2 linked regions of the Coturnix japonica genome follow. The protein of the gene in region 2 binds, or shares a complex with, the protein of the main gene of each other region. Links are inferred from orthologs where the notes say so. Each region holds a gene or a part of one and is shown on either strand. Other genes may lie near its edges.

What was found. The genes of interacting proteins can lie anywhere in the genome.
Region 1: the proteins of IRF2BP2 (region 2) and IRF2 are in contact, whole or in part, in a crystal structure (PDB 8YTG), measured with the Homo sapiens proteins. The link is inferred for Coturnix japonica from reciprocal best matches to the Homo sapiens genes IRF2BP2 and IRF2. Residues at the interface, in NP_892017.2 of Homo sapiens: His517, Phe518, Val519, Gln520, Pro522, Phe531, Leu557, Trp564, Ala565, Phe566, Met567, Glu570, Thr573, Ile574; in NP_002190.2 of Homo sapiens: Arg331, Ala332, Ser333, Val334, Ile335, Lys336.

Annotation. Positions count from the first base shown.
Region 1 is NC_029519.1:35,014,121-35,022,411, reverse strand, and holds the end of IRF2 (interferon regulatory factor 2), read right to left. Parts: intron 5,463-8,291; coding exon 5,416-5,462; intron 4,084-5,415; coding exon 3,772-4,083; 3' UTR 2,718-3,771; downstream 1-2,717. UniProt on the Homo sapiens protein: Specifically binds to the upstream regulatory region of type I IFN and IFN-inducible MHC class I genes (the interferon consensus sequence (ICS)) and represses those genes. Also acts as an activator for several genes including H4 and IL7.
Region 2 is NC_029518.1:34,496,683-34,505,544, reverse strand, and holds the start of IRF2BP2 (interferon regulatory factor 2-binding protein 2), read right to left. Parts: upstream 4,726-8,862; 5' UTR 4,415-4,725; coding exon 3,409-4,414; intron 3,256-3,408; coding exon 2,540-3,255; 3' UTR 1-2,539. UniProt on the Homo sapiens protein: Acts as a transcriptional corepressor in a IRF2-dependent manner; this repression is not mediated by histone deacetylase activities. Represses the NFAT1-dependent transactivation of NFAT-responsive promoters.

The DNA.
Region 1 (8,291 bases), on a different chromosome or scaffold from region 2:
AGATTCAGAGCAGTCCTCCCCGTGATCGCAGTACCTCGCACATACAGGACTCCAGCCTCCAGCAACACGGACAAAGTCCTTGGTTTCCTAAGGATGCAAGACTCATGGTGTCACACTGTGAGCGTGACCATGTCACTCTGTGCCTTTCAAACACTTGCTGCTTTGAAACAACTGGGCATTGCAGCAGTCTCCATCCATGGGGATGCTCAATATTTGACCTAACAAGATTCCAAGCAACCTGACCTGACTCTGTAGTTAACTCTATTTAGACTGGGCAGTGGGCCAGGTGACCTCCAGAGGGCCCATCCAACCTGAATTATTCTGCAATTACTGTAAATCAGCTCTGAGAGAAGGAGAGGTGTTGTAGAGACAAGCTCCTATTGGCCTGAGATAGAAGACTGCTTTCACTAGGTCTGTGCTGAAGAGGTTGCTGTGCAGATTAACCTTTCACTAGAGACTAGGAAGTTAATTAAGAGGGATAAGATTGTACACATGCCCTAACAAACTGCAGTGTCCTCAGAGCGAGCAGCAAGCACGCTGCTGCCTCCCAGCCGCAGTGGATGCGCATCACCACGCAGTGAGGGATCAGTGCTGTAGCTACGTTCAGCAACTCCCATGTGTGGACATCTCTTGGAAGAGCTTCAAACACCTAAGGCCTGGCAAGAGGAAAATTTAGCAAGTATGCACGCCCTTCCCAAGCACACATCTATCTCCTGTTGCGCAGCTGCTCAAGCAGGGTGGGGGCTGCTGTTTTTGGAGCTTAGCTGCCTTCCTTGCTTCTGAGAGGAACCAGAGTTGCCTGTTTTTCTCCATCGACTAGTCCTACTTTTCAGATGGCTGAAGAGCAGCAGAGCCTTATCCTTGCACGTGAGAGTTTACATTGGAAACAAACATTAATCTACCTAGAAAAACTCTGGCAGCCTTCTGGTAACGAGCTCCTTGCTTACCCAAGCTCACAGCGGAGTTTGTTGAAGCCAGACTCTCACTCACAGCCATGTAGGACACACTGAAAGGCAAAAGCTCAGGAATAAAAAGGGTCTTTTGCAAGCAGCAGCTATTGCTAAAAGGCACAAAGCCTTCGAGACACTATGTTAGCGTCAAGGGTGAGGGGTAGGGAGCTTAACACACAACTAGAAATGATGAGCTACTGCAGCTTTCGGTGTGTAATGCATAGGGCACTGACACTGCCTGGAGGCCTGCAGAGATATGCCAGCATGTAATGCAGCCAATCTGACCCGAGAGAGAGCAGGCCACCACTGGTATAAACAGAAGTCTTGATTTTGGAAAAGCGAAAGCCCAGAGTCAGCTCTGTTTACTCTGGGAGATGTTTTCCTGTCCTCACACCACTGCATCTCTGGGCTTTCAGCTATAATTCTAGCGCTAAGCCCAGGCTGAGCCAGAGGCAGGAGAACCTCTCCATCCACAGACTAAATACTCCTGAGAGGAGAATGAGAGCACCAGCTCTGAGTTTACATTACAAGATGCTTTCCAGCCCTGTGCAACTGGGATGCTTCTTTCCCTAAGCCCTGCTGCAGACTCAGTCTCAGCCCAGGCACTGCAGCCCTTCCTTTCCCACAGGATACCTTCCCCAGAGGAGAACTCAAGCCCTCTTTAGCCCTCTCTTCCCAGGTCACTGGTTTGGTAAGATAAAATTGCAAGTTTCATGCAGACTTGTGATGAAATTTGAAATTGCAGCATCAGATTAAGAACACAGGAACATTCTACTGGCCAGAACCTGAGCCTATTAAATAGCCAGTTCGTACATCTTCCTTTGATACAGCCAATTTTGTGCCTATTACCTCATCAGACAAATATACACAACGCTCCATATGTACTCAGCAGTTGAGACAACCACACTTGAAGCTACACATCACACTTTGGGCTATCACCTTGTGTTCACAGGATCAATGGCATGGTTTGTCTACTACCGCCATGCAATTCTGCAAGCTGCTACACACCCTCTCATTAGATACAGATTGAGGGGAGATTTAGATTAGATGTCAATGGAAAGTTTTTCACAGATGCGGTGGTAATGTGCTGGCACAGACTGCCCAAAAAGGCTGTGAATGTCCTGCCCCTGGAAGCCTTTAAGGCCAGTTTGGATGGGCCCTGGGTAGCCAGATCTGGGATTCGATCTAGCAGTTGGCAACCCTGTCAGCAGCAGGGGGACTTGGAACTAGATGGTCTTTGAACTTCCTTCCAACCCAAGCCATTCACCCAAACCAGAGAAATCAGAATTTGCCATCATGCAACAGATGGAGAATGTCTGCTTCGAGTATTCACTTGACTTCTGATTCATTCTACTAATAAGAAACTGCTACTGAAACAAGTAAACTGAGAGCAAACTAAACAGTTATCTACCAGGAATGGGGCGAGCTCAGCTGTGCCCACACGAGGCCGCAGATGAACACCCTGAAGTTCCCTTCAATGAGATGCTTTCCTCAAAGCTAAACCATGGAATAGCATCAGGAGAGGTTCTGCAGTTCCCAACCTGTGCACGTGAGGCCAAACTTGAGCTGGTTGCCATTAAGCACTAGTTCCTCTTTGCACCTCAAGATGTCTTGAGCAGAGCACTTCCCACTCTGTCAGATGAGCGCTACAGAAACTGTAAAGGTGGCTCATGCTAATAGTTCGCTCTGAGCCTTCATATCCACCTATCAAACACCCACACCATCTGCGGCTTCTGAAAGATTAGAAAAGAGAGACAAACAAGAGGGTTATTAAAAATTTAACTATATACCATATTTATTATCAATCCACAGGATAATCTGATTGCTACATGAGCTCATAAAAGCTATTTCACCTTTACAAAATTAAAAAAAAACAAAAACAAATGTGCCACAAGGATGTAATAACTGCTGATAACCAAGGATTGAATCTTAAAATTATAAATTTGCTGTAGAAAAGATTAAAAAAAATTATATTCACTTTAGAATTTTATTTTGAATAAAATATTCCCCTGTATAAAAAATAAAAAAGCTTGCTCTGGTTAGAATTAGAGTATTCTTCTTTTTTTTCTTAAATCTGGGAATTTGCATAACATCTCTGTAATAGTTTCTTTTTTCCCTATTGTACCACGCGGCATTCAAGCATAGCAGATTAGAAAACAAACACGAGAAAAGCAGTCTTAAAATGTATGAAATCCACATGGGAAGTTTTAACTTTCTTTCCTTTCCACTATTCTTTAAAGACACGTTAGCAAGAATAGCCTTGGAAAAGAATACAGGTGGGGAGGGACCTTCAATGTGCCATTAAGTAGAGCAAGGTAATAAAAGGCCTTTTGTAAGTGCTTTCTTAATAAGGTGCAGAAGCAGACTGCAACGTTGCTAGTACTGCACTATGTACAATATTCACAATAGAATTTTTTTTTTTTTATTTAAAAATATTCCAGCTAGTTCACATTTTCTCTTCCATTCTGAGGCTTTCAGTTCCATCACAGCCTTGACAGCAAGAAGCGCAGCAGCACCACTTCCCTTGTGGTCAGTTGGTCCTCTTATGAAACACTGAAACCTGCAAGTGGGCCAAAGTTCTTGTTTTATTTTCCTACGTAGCAACCTTGCAAGTCCACCTGGGTTCAGATGTACACACTGACGGCTGGAGTCCTGAGTTAAAAACACTCCGGCACTGGAGTCAGACACAGCAATGTTTTATATTGCCAAGGCTTTCTTTACCTTAGATTTGTCTAATGTGCGTCAAGGGTTGAACCTCTCCTAGAGAAACGTAAAATACAAAACCAAACAAAACAAAGCTAAAAAACACACTGTCAAAGGCTTAGCAGCTCTTGACTCTTGACTGGGTGATGTCTGACGTCTTCTTGATGACGCTAGCCCGTGTCTCGCGGTCTGGCCGGCTGCTGCTCGTGGAGGCTGTGGACACTACTTGTGGCAGAGGGATGTCTGGGAAAGGGGGCCAGGAGCTGTTGTAAGGCAGCGGGCAGCTTTCTTCTTTGATGGTGACCTGGAGGTCAGGCTTGTTGGCTACAAAAGTAGCCATGCTGGGAAGCATATGAGAAGTGTTCCGCATTCCCAGATTGCTGAGATACTGTTTGCCTTCAATGTTTTTCTTCTGCCAATGAAGTCGTCCCTATGAAGGGGGAAGAAGAACGAAGAAAGACTGCGTGAGTGAATGCGCTTTGCAAACTGCCAGCAGTAAGATGAAGACAGAAATATCCACAAACTGCAAAGGAGTTGCCCCATCTCTAAAAGCCTGAGTCACCAGCAGCTGGCTTTGAATGTCTTTGCTCTTTGTCAGTTCTCCCTTTATAAGTCCTGTATCCTAACCCTGGTGGCTCTCCAGCACTCAAAACACGCTGCCTATTCCTCTGATGGAAAATAAAGACCTTATACACAATATGCCATTGACAAAATTCGACATAGGTGACCTAAACCTCAAGAGCTTCAAACTGAAGTCTCCTCCATTACTGGGGAGAGCTGGCACAGAGACTCAAAAGCTCTGCCATCAGAGGTAAAGCTGCCAGGAAAATCCCTTGGTAGCATGTCCACTCATCACAGGGATTAAGCATCCTGTCCTTTCCCCATCACACATACTGCAGTGGCACATCCTGTCAAAGGAGGGTTTTCACTAGGTATGGGGAGATGGGGAGCCCCCACCTCAGCCACCATTGGTGCAGTAGTTGGGGCATTTCTACACTTTTCTCTCTTCCTTGTGCCATGAACTCTCACAGATACCTTATTTTCCACCTGCTCATGGGAGTAGGAACATTCCTCTGGTCCAAGGCAGAGGAATAAACACTATTATAACCATGCAGACAGAAGGTAGCTCTTGCTGTGTGCTAACTCAGTCTTGCCCGCTCAGGAAAGCTTTTGGCCTCACACACCTCAAACATTCAAGTTGTATTTCTATCACACGTGTAAGCATTTCCTCCAATTGTACGAGTTCACATGCCATTTAAGGAGAACAAAGCGAGGATGTTTTCAGCTGAGATAAAATACTCACTACCCATGTGTGTGCTTGTGTACGCTTGTCATGCATGTGTGTGCATGTGTGTGCATGTGTGTGCTTGTGTGCTTGTCATGCATGTGTGTGCTTGTGTACGCTGCAACGTCAATGCAGCGTACACAAGCACACACATGCATGACAAGGTTCGATAGTTTGCTCCATATTAACAAACTAGCTGGCACTGCTGATGGCTCTACAGAGTATAATCTCATGAAAATCAACCTCCTTGTAGCTTCGACAGATGAGGAGGAATGAACTTGCAGAGATATCTGTTCTGCTTGAAAATCATCCCAGCATTTGTCTCCCCAGAAGCTTCCTACTTTTTCTTTCTCCCTCAGCTATTAAACAGGAACGCTCCACTAGCAGACAGTTGCAAATGTAGAAGTGGAAAGAATACCACAGGACACTACTTGGAGATTTTGCTCCAAAGCATTCAAAAATGCAGAAAACACTTACCTCTGCATTTTCTTCATCGCTTGGAACGCTGTCGGTCGTTTCACTTTCTGTCAAGTAAAACAGAGGCAAAAATGAAACCCAAGTAATGTTATCTACAGTAGCAAAATCCAGCTCAAGAGGCATGATTCACTTCAAGCAAGCACAAGCAAACATAGTCAAGCCAAACAATCAGAAAAGAATAGTAAACTATGTATCCCCTGTAAAGTAATCTAAAGGTCAGACAACACAGTACCATGGAACTATGGAGTAAATTCATGTGGTTATCATGGTTAATCTGGATACACTCTGGAATAGACTGCAGCAGAGGTGGAAGAAGCAGGTCAGTGTTATTGCTCATACTTCTGGGCAGAGAGAAACTACTGCCAGTGGGGAATGCCCCCTCTTCCCTTTTCCTGCTCTTGGTGGCTCGAGGCCAGTTATGAGCAAAGTCCTCTGCAAATCCTTATTTTTATGTCCCTGCAAAACCATCAACAACACCACCCTAGAGGAGATAAGTGTGGTATGTTTCATGAACTGTTATCTCAGTTTGCCACTTCAAGACTTTGTTATCAGTTCTTGCACTTTATTACTGCTGTTACACTTTGCTCTTATGTCAGTTTTGCCCTGCCCCCTGCTCTATATCTCATCCCTCTGCCCACCACTCCAGCACAGACAAATGCAATTACCTCCTGCACCACAGCAGGGCAGCCCCAGCACCTCCTACCTCCAAACAGAGAACAGAGACACACTGCCACCCTTCTGCATTGGGGGACAGGGCAGCAGCTCCACGAGGATGGCCACCCTCCTGCAGCCTCAGCCTTTGCTTGCAGAAGAGCCTGAGCCCCACTGTATTTTCGAGCGCTCTAGGTGGCCCTACTTGAGCAAGTGGCAGGACCAGATGACCTCCACACAGGTCTCCAGAAAGACTGGCAACTCCCTGCTCTTCCCCATAGGCTCAGCTAAGGACCAGGTTTAGGCAAAGGGCCACAAACTCATGGGCTCAGTTGTTCTTTCAGACCCAAGGATCTAAACTGCACTCAAAGTCCTGCTGAAATAAGTAAGCAGGCAGCTCAGCTGCTAAACACGTTAACTTCCATAGCTGGCACCTTGCCTACTCCAGAGACCCAGTCACAACACGCAGCAAGGCAGAGGATCTAACTGTGAAGTGCTATGAAGTTAACACTCTGCAGGGCTCCTCATTCACTGGCGAAGGTATAGAGAGATGTGACAACGTGATAAAGTTGGCTAATTAAGCTGGACTAGGAGGAAGGGAAAGGGGAAGGAGAGGCAGAAAGTAATCCGTACAAAAGGAGAAATGGCCCCAGAGACAGTCAATAGGAGGAATCCACACAAGAGACAGGAAAGATATTCCTTGACATGAGGAAGCATGTGGCAACAGAAAATAGTGATGTAGATGAAAAGGAATCCATCCTTGATGTTTATACATAACAAAATGCTGAGCAAGAGAGAGCACTATAGTTAGGAAAAGCCATGGAAGCTAGCCACTGCAGTATGGAAAGTGAGAGAGGTCATTTGAATCAAGGAGGTTATTTGAATCAGCGTCAAACAAGATGAGGTTGACAAGAACAGCCTTGGTACTAAAAAAAATGGATTTCATAGACGTCAATGGAAATATGAGGAAACTCATAAAGGCCAGAAATATCATTTGCCTGTGTAACCTCAGAAAGGAACTAGAGGTGTTTTTGAAATAAAGCAGATTTATGTAGGACAGCTGATACCTACGGCTACTTTTTTTGTTGTTATTTCAGAAGAGCTAAACTAAGTGCTCCTGTGCAGCTGTTATGGTCATCCTCTTTCCTGCCACTTAGTGGTAGCACCTGACAGAGTAGGCAACTGTACTCAGAAGAGTCACAAGGGCAGGTTTAGGACTCCATATCTATATGGTTTTGTGTATAACAAGATAAAACTATAAACACCACGAGAATAACCTACAAATGTCAGGGTTCTGAAAAATCCTGTGGTGAAAAAAGCGACATATTTTCTTATATTCAGTTGGACCAAGTTCTATTGCTTCAATTTCTGCCTTTTACTTCTCACTGTGCACCACCATGAAATAGCCTTGCTCAACCTTCTCAATAACACTGCTGTAGATGTGGACAGCCTGCTACGAGGTTACCAAAACCATCTCTTCACCAGACCGAACACACCCTGTGCATTCCACCACTTTTTCTGCTCACTGATGAAGATATTAAAATGGACTTGTCCCAGCACAGATTCTAGCAGCACACCACATCTGACTGGCTCCCCAGCTAGGGTAACCAGGATCTTCATCCTGTCTCAGGATGCGTTCAAAGACATGTTGGTGGCATGAAATCATCTTCTGTGCTATCTTAGTAATGGTTTAGTAGGCCCTGATACAAGTTAGGAAAGCTGAAATCCACAAGGATACTAAGACAGTGTAAGGGGATAGCAGAAGTTCTTCAGTCATTCTTTTTATGTCTTTTTTCAGTTATTCTATTTATGTAGATTTCTCGCATTGACTTTTGAAGAGGTAACTCAGGACTTGCTCATGTCAGGGCGATTCTCCTGTCACCAGATCATCCCTCTCTGTTGTCACAGCCCAAGCAATTACAGTGACTTTCAGACCTAGATGGTGACTTCTGTCTGCATTCCAAGAGCTTAGACCCTTTAGCCGAGGTCAAAAAAAAGCATCATTGTTGCTTTTACACAGCCAGGAACAGTTTTGCAAGAAGCATTTGGAACAAGGACAAATGTTTCAAAGGCCCTGTCTCCCACCGCTAGTAAATTAAAGCACCCCTCCTTATGCTTTGCAAAGCCCTTTTAAATGCTCTGACCATTACAGACTAAACACACGGGGAAGCATGACCGTGTATCAACGTTTGAGACTAACATTGGAGGCTATTCAACAGAACATC
Region 2 (8,862 bases):
CAGCTTTATGGTGACCAGGCTTAGAGGGGCCTGCAGACCCACCACGTGGGCTCTGGTACCAGACCCTCCATCATCTCCTCCACCTCAGGGGCTGCAGGACCCTCCATCATCTCCTCCACCTCAGGGGCTGCAGGAGGCAGGGGGAGGAGGGTTTTGACTTCAGGACTGGCCATGCCTGTGTCAGCGGGCCGTAAGGAGGCCCTGTTTGTCAAAGCAGGCCCAGCCCTCACGCTAGGCCGCCATGTAACTTAGAAGGGGACCTCTGAAGGGATGTGTTGGTGTTTTCATTTTTGGTTTTAAAGTAGAAATACCACCTTAATCAAAAAAACATGAGCTCCACACCACAGAGGTATCATGCCAAGCAACTCTGAAGAACTTGTTACCATCTATCAGCTCAAAATCCATTTTTCTTTTTTTAATAAAGTGCCTAAATACACATTTACACAGATCATAGTGGTTCCAAAGAATCCTTTACAGTTTTTATATATATAGGAATATATATAGGTATATATATATAATGTGCGTTTTCTTCAAATTGGCTAAATGTGTTTACATAGGACACCAATCTTGACTATAGGTATAAGATTTAAAGCGTAATATCGAGTCAATGAATCTGTTTATCATGCAAGTCTTATCTAATATTACATTGACCTGTAATATGGAACACAATGTAGTGGGTGTGCTCATTAAACACTTCATAAAAAAAAAAAAAAAATTACTGTGCGTGTGCAGTTCTGATCTTCAAATACTAATAATGACCATTTCTTTAGAGAGAGAGAAAAAAAAAGTCTTCCAGAAAAGAGCTACTCTGCATTAAACTGCAGTCTGAACATTATCACAATAAGAACAGTTGACTCAAAAGCACCCAAAATTGTTCAAATTTACGTCAGCTGAACAGATTTCTCCTCTTCCTTGGGCACCAAGTGCTCATTAGCCCATCCCAGGGCTGGGACGACCTCGCCACCCCTTCGCTCAGAAACAACCTCTTATAACCCAGTTATAAACACCTCAACAGAAGGGCTCATCCAGCTGCAGCGTTGCCAACGAACTATAAACAGCACAAAAACATCACTATAAGACTCAACTATTTCTAGTAACCAATGATTTATTGATTTTAGAAGTCTGCTTGGTGATGCAGAAGCGTGATCAAAAGAAGTGGCTTTACAAAAGAGTTCTCCAAAGTAGCTTAAAAGTCAGGGCCATGGCAATTATGTGAAGCCCTAATTGCTTTCATTTCAACCAGTTTATGTTTTCATTTTCAAAGAATAGCAGTAGGTTTGTTTCAAGCACACGTAATAAGGAAATTGCAGGTTTCCTCCACCCACTTTTTGGGCTGTCGCTGATATGCCTGCAGGCAATCTGGCAGAGCCTCAGTTGCTGCTGTCATTGTACCACGCTGTACCTGCCACTACTTGGAAACACCGTGTCAGCGATAGTAACAAAAGCAACAGTACCGGAGGTGACTGATAAGCAAATTCAAAAGTCCACCTGCACTATCTGAAAATTAAAGTAAAATTAGAAAGGAAAAACAAAACAAAACAGCCTTTCTCCCACCTCCCCAGCACTGTCCAAAGACCAAAAAAAACCCCAATGCTGAAGGCCTTCAGAGACGGCAGTGCTACAGCGGTGCAGTCACCAATCATGTCATAAGGTTGGCTATCACAGTTCCACGTTAGAGTACGCAATTGGTCAACAGGCGTAGTTCTGTAATCTTACAACTGATCACGTGAACTGCGGTCAACTTTGCCTTAAAAAAAAAAAAAAAAAAAAACAAGAAGAAAAAAAAAAACCCCAACAGAAACAAACCAACCCAGAAATCCCTATAACTCAACAGCGCCTCTCCAACACCTCTCCACATCCTACTCCAAAGGCAACTTCCCTTGAGAAACACGGAGGAATTTTGGCCTGGGTCCGGCACGGCCACACGAGGCGGACAGCCGCTCCCGGGAGGAGCCCTTAGTGCTCCATGCGCCCGCCTGCCCCCAGCCCTACAGAAGCAGGGGGCAGCAATAAGGAAATCACAGACAGTAAGGCGATCTTTACAATGTCAGAAAGTGTATTTGGCATTAAAAAAAAAAAAAAGAGAGAGAAAAAAAAAAAAAGAAAAAAAAAAAGGAAAAGGAAACAAGTGCATACAAATACAGCTAGAAGCATTTCTCGTTTGCCAAGTGCTCTAAAAAAAGCAGCGCAAGTCACAGCCTACATCGAACAGTAATTGTCACCAGGGAAGCACAACAAATAGTTGCTATAACAAAAGGGGAGGGGGGAAAGCGGGGGGAGGGGAGTGGGGATGGGGGGGAAGGACGGGAGGAAAAAAAAAAAGAGAATTAGAAGAAATGCCTTTATAATAAGTACATACCTTTTGTCTTCAAAAAATATAGAAACACAATGTATTCAAAAAAATCAAAATTATACAGCCATGTTTATGAAGTCTACATTTCCCTTGTCTTGGAGATATATATATATTTATATATATATATTTATAGATATATACAGAACCGGAGCAGTTTGGGCGACGGGCGGCGCTGGGCCAGCACAGTCACGAGTCTCTCTCCTTTTTCACTTTCACATCCCCGGCCAGGATGGTGGCGATCTCCCCCTGCATGAAGGCCCAGGGCACGTTGGAGCCGACCAGGGGGCACTTCTCCCCGCTGGGGCAGTACACCTCTCCGCTGGCCCCCTGCTGCTTGATGCTCTGCCGGGAGCAAGGGAAGCAGAACTTGTGGGACGGGACGGAAGGGCACTGCACGAAGTGGGTGTCTTCCAGGCGCTCGTGGCACAGGGTACAGCACAAGGGGACGCTGGCGGCGAGGGACGAGTCCGGCAGGCTGGCGGGGTGCACGGGCTCCAGCCCGCCCGCCGCGCTGCCCCCCTGGCCCGGCACCTCCCTGCCGGCACCCAGCCTTCTTTGGTTCATGGCGGAGGGCGAGGGGGGGCTGCTGCTGTTCCTCCTGGTGGTGGAGTGGACCTGGTTGGCCTCCTTGGAGGCGTGGTTGCCCCCGGCATTGTCCGCCACCAAAATGAGCGCGGCCATGGGGGACTGGCCGTTCTGGGCCGCCTCGGGCGGCGTGGTCCGGTTGGAGTGGGGCGAGGCGGTGGGCGGCGGGGGCGACATGAAGGACGTGGCCGTCAGCGGCATCTTCATCCCTTCGGACGCGGCCGGCAGCCAGGGCTGCGCCTCCCCGTTGATCTTCGGGGGTCCCGCCTCGCCCTCCGGCTCGGGGGACGGCTTCCTCTTCCGGGCTGCGCGGGCCCCTGGAAAGGGAGGGAGAGAGTCAGAGGGGCGACAAGGCGGCCAAGCACCGCCACCGAAACGTGCCAGATCACCGTAACACGCGCACACACGCGGCCCCGTCCGCCCCGGCCCCGCACTCGCCCCCCTCCTCCCGCCCCGGTCCCGCTCCTCACCCGGCTTGGCCGCGGCCCCGTTGCTCTCGTATCCCAGCATCCTGCCGCCCGCCATGCCCGGCTCCTTCTTGAACTTGCTGTCGAAGGGCGGCACCGCGTGCCCGCCGTGCTGGTGCAGGGCCAGCAGCGTGTCCCGCACCGTCTTGGGCTTGGCCAGCCACTCCTCGCCGCCCGCCCGGCTCTTGCCGTCGTTGCCCATCTCTGCCGTGGCCGGCACGCTCTCCGCCGATCCGCGCTTCTCCTTGCTCCCTCCGTCGTGTTCCCCCGCCGCGCCGCCGCCGCCCGACGACGAGGACGAGACGGAGCCGGGCCGCTTGTGGCCCAGCTCTCCGGGCTGCCCCGCCGCCGCCTGCGCCGCCGCCGCCGGCTGCTGGGGCACGGGCACGGCCAGCGGGGCGGGCGCGGCCGAGATGGCGGCCAGCGAGGCGGCGGCGGCGGCGGCTCGGCCGCCCAGGCCTCCGATGGCGGCGGGGAGCCCGGCGCCGTTCACCAGCGGCACCAGAGTGGGCGGCACGGCGTGCGTCCGGCGCGGGTTGGGGCTCTGCCGGTTGAGCTCGGGCGGCTCCTCGGGCTTGGGGAAGCCGTTGGGCACCAGGATGCCGTTCACTTGCCGTCCGCCGCCGTACTCGGCGCCCAGGCGAGGCGGCGGCCGCTCGGCGGCCAGCGGGTGGCGCTCCTGGGGCTGCGGCGGGGGCGCTGCCGCCGCCGCCGCCGCCGCGGGGTGGCCGAGCTGCTGCTGCTGCGCCAGGAGCTCCTTGGCGGAGAGCGGCGGCTGCTTGGCGTGCGGCGGCGGCGGGGCCCGGCCCTCGGCGAAGCAGCCGTGCGCCCGCTTCAGCTGCCGCGCCGTGTCGATGACGAACTCCACGCGGTCGGCGCCCTCGTAGTTGACGCAGCCCCGGCACACGGGCTCGGTGAAGTCCCAGATCATGGCCCAGGGCATGCGGGGCAGGTCGCACAGGTAGCACGACTGCCTGCGGGAAGCAGCCGCCACCGCCGCCGACGACATGTCCCGGCCCCGGGGCGGCGGCGAGCGCCCCCCGCTCCGGCTCCGGCCGCCGCCTCCTCCTCCTCCGCCCCTCGCCACCGGACGGCCGACGGGGCGGCTCGGGCGCCGCGGGACCGTCGGCGCGGCCCCCTCCCCCTCGCCTTCCTCTTCCGCGCCCCGGCGAGCGGAGCCGCTCCGGGGGCCGCCGCTCCCTCGTCCGTCTCCGCCGGCGGCGCTCACAGCGCGGCGGGGACGCGCATCTTCGCGGCGCGCCTGGCGCAGGGCTGCGGCCGCTGCCGCCCGCACGGCTCCCCCGCTCGCTGGCTACTACGGGGCGGCGCGGCGGGGCGGGGCCGGGGCTGGGGCCGGGGCCGGGGCCGGGGCCGGGGCCGGGGCCGGGGCCGGGGCCGTGCCGCGTTCCAGCCGCCACCGCCGCCTCTGCGCGCCGCCGCCTCGATTCTTCGACAGTGCCGCCGCGCCTGCGCGATGGGCGCCCCCGCCCCAACAACGCCAACCACGCCGCCGCCGCGCTCCCGGCCCCGGCTCTGCCCGCGCCCCCGGCCCGGCCCCGGGGGTTCCGCCCGCCGCCGGGGGAGCCCAGCGCCGGCCACGCGGAGCGGAGCGGGCTGAGCGCGGCCCCGAGCCTCCCGCTCGGCACCGGCGGGGTCACCGCGTGCGGTGCGGGCTGAGCGCCGCGGGGTCGCTGAGCTCGGTCGCCCCCGACCCCCCCCCGGTGACCCTGGGGCTGCCCCCGTCCCCTACTGGGCCCGGGCGGGAGGGGCGTCGTGGGTAAATAAAACCATCGCCCGTATTGTTATTTTTTTCTTTATTTTTTTTTTTCTAACTGTTGTCACTGCACGCAGGAAATAGGACGCTCGAGATTTCCTGTCGTTTGCAACCACAAACCCTCCGCTCTCTAAGGCGGACGAGCACAACCCGCGCAGCTCAAGCACGGCACGGGCGTTCCGCTCCGTCCCCGCACAGCGGCACCGCGAGGGGCAACGTCCCCCTCGCCACGTCCCGCAGGCGGGCACGGCCCTCCCCGCCGCGTTATGTAGGTTACGGGGGAGGGAAGGGGGGGCGAGCAGGCAGCGGGGACACCCGGGGGAGCTGTGACGTTTGCGGGGCTCGGCGGGGCGGTGCCTGCGGCGCTCCCGGGGCTGCGGACCTGGGATGCGATTCAGGCACCGGGAGAGCCCCGAGCGGATCGTGCCCCACGGCCAGGCGGGGGTTAACGCGGCTCCGCAGCGCGGCCCTCCTTTCTCGTAGCATCAAAGCGCTGTAAGGCTGTTCCGTGCACCCCCTCCCGGCTGGAAAGTCGCTTTATCCCTGCATGCTAAGTAAACACATCTTGTTTTCGTCTTCCACCCACTGCCCTCTTTCTCCAGCCCGGAGATGGAGGCGTGCCAAGGCGGTTGCAGCGATTGCTGCCTCCACACTCATACACACACACATATACACACACACACATGCACAGCCGGGTTTGTCGGGTGAGGCAATGCGCCTGCAATTGGCAGGGACAAGGCAGGAATTGTAATTGCACTGCATCATGTGATGGCTTATGAAAGAGGAAGTTTGGATGTTTTAGTCACGTACTCCTTTGCCCTCTCGCTTTAGCCTCCAGGTTTTGCGAAGGAAAAAAAAAAATAAAAAAATAACTGCATATATTTATATACACTGGTGGGAAGCCAAGGAGCTGTGTGTTTGCACACTGCGCATGGGGAGCACAGCTCGGAGAGAGCCCGGCTGCAGGGAGGGAGAAAGCACAGCTTTCAGTGAGTGCAGGACGGGGAGTGTGACCCCTATTTATTTAACTTGGTTTCTGATCGAATCAGGCTGGTCAGAGCCACTATGGGCAGCATTTGGGTTCTGCTGCATTTGCATCTATTCTGGTAGAAGAGGCAGCTCTCTGGTAGAGAGCGTTGCAGCTCTCGGTGTCAAAAAGCAGATAAAAAATAGCGGCGTAGGAAATGTGATTTAAGAATCAAATCACACACACACACACACAAATCTGCAGAGCTGCCGTCATGCAGTCGCTGCACAAGAATAAAACAGATCGTGCGTTTGTTTCTCGTTCCTTTTTTTTTCTTTCTTAATATTTATTTATTTATTTATTTTGAAACAGAAACCATCCTTTTGTGCCTGCTTTCTGTGGAACACCCCGGCGATGACATGGCGAGGCTATATATATATATATATATATATATATATATAGGGGCTCTGCAGAAGCCTGTGGCCTGCGGGCATGCCCAGCCGGGGGGCCCTGCCACAGGGGAGCCCCATGCCATGGGGAGCCCTGACCCAGTGCCACAGTGCAGGGAAGGAAGGGAGAGGTGCAGTAGAGTCCTGCTCTCACATCAGTACTGGTCCCAAAGAAATATGTCTGTCCAACCATTTTGTGTTTAATATGGGAAGAAAGTACTGATGTACACAATGCTGCCATCAGGAGCAGCCTGTTGACGTACACAGACTTATAGACAATGCTACAAACACCAGCAGCCACTCCTAATTTTACCTACAGGACAATTGCTGGACAAGCAGCCATGCTCATGGTGCACAGCATACCGCCAACACTGCTCCCCAGTGCTGCTGACTGCAGAAATGCTGCCTTGTGACATGCAACTACTGCTGCTGGCAGAGGGACACTGATGGAGCAGCCTGTTGTCAGCATGTGTGTGTGTCCATGCACAGACAGGGGAGGTGGACGTGGTTATTTCATTTTTGTCATAGAAGTTTTGGGTGCATGAATACATGCAAGATCCAACTTGGGCTATTCTCTGATTCTCTGATTCCACGAGTAGTGGTGTGAGCAAAAGCATCAGTGCTGCAGCTTCTGCTGCTTTGGTGGGCTCTACCCCGGGCAATTTGGAGCCAAAATGGTGTGGTTTAAAAAAAAAAAAATAAGAAGGAAATGATTCTGTTTTTAACTGAGCACTTGACTTCACACCCTCGTTTCAAGTAGCAGTGGAAAAAAAAGACAGCAAGGAAAAGATGATGGAAATACTTGAGAAATTCAGAGGTTACTACACTCAGAAGGGAAATAAAAACTTCAGAGGGACGATTCCAGATGCCAGAAGAAAGGGCAATTGATGTGGAAAATCTTCCGCCTGCTCTCTTCAGCCTGGTAAATAGCTGTTGGACGCTCCCACCGACACCGTGTTGGCTGCCCTCTGCTACAAGCCACAATGGGCGATTGTCTGTGGGGTACAGGGGGACAGACCGGCTGGGAGCTGCCTGGGGTGTGTTAGCATGGCTGGGCAACCCTGGCCCAGCACCAACAGGAAGACCAGAAGGCCGTGACCCCATGGGCTCACCGTACTGCGGCTCAATGGGTGACCATGTTCTTCTGCCCATCGATGCAGTCATGTTATTTACATTTTCTGACATAACAGGAGCTAACAAAAGCACTCCCCAATCTGAGGAAACATAAAGTGCAGTGAAATTAGTTTCTGGCTGCCATCGCTGCCTCCTTCCCCATCCCCCCTTTGGGCAGCCAGCATGGGGACAAAGGTGCTGCTCTGTGCTCAGTCCCCAGCCTCACCTTTTTGCTCAGTGCTGTCTCTTAGACTAAGTAAAAACAGGTAAATAGGGTGTTTTTATCAACTTGGGTATTCAGTCCTATGCATAGTGTACTGCCGTGCAGTGACACTAAGGAGAAATACTGACAAGTTTAGGCACCAGTGATACACTTGTAAACATCACTAGCAGAGCTGCAAAAATCAGAGTCATCCCTCTTGTATTCACCTGCATCCCTAATGCGCCAACACCCTGCTGAGCTCCAGAAGGAGGTGCCTACCAGGAAGCACAGCCAAACTCATAGGTGATAAAAAGGACTGTAGCAAAATTAATAACTGGTACACCCATTCTGGAATTGACAATTAACCTTGGTCTCCTCCTCTGGATAACTATCATTAAACAGCTCTCCAGAGGTTGGGGCTTGCATTTCACTTAGTCTCCCAAATGGGCCTGGATGAGCTCTGAGCAGCCATCGGATGGTGGCAGCTGCCAAGTTGCAAGAGCCTGGGATGGGCTTCAGTTGCAGATCCAGGGGCAAGAGGACAGCCACCTTCATCATCCATCTGCCCTTTGCCAGTTACTATTATTGTTAAATGTAGTTCTGCACACGTTGTAATTAGGTAGGAAAAAAAAATAGACCAAATGAAAAAGGGTACAAGCTTCTCAAAAACATCTCTGTACTAGCTGCAGCCTGACTCAGCCTTCAATTAACATTCTTCCTTAAAATAGTTGTCTTCTCCATCTTTTGTTAAATCTTACATAATACCAGGCCAAATCACCACCCGAGAGAGGGGCTGTGAAAACGTGTCACTGTGTGCATGATTTTTACTTTGCACATGGGATGCAGGTATGCACCAAAGAGAAGGCTCCCAAGACAGTCAGGAGGGTACCTGCAATCCTGATGTTGCTCAGCACCTCCAACCTCAGGGCACTGGGGAGCTCTGTGGGCACAC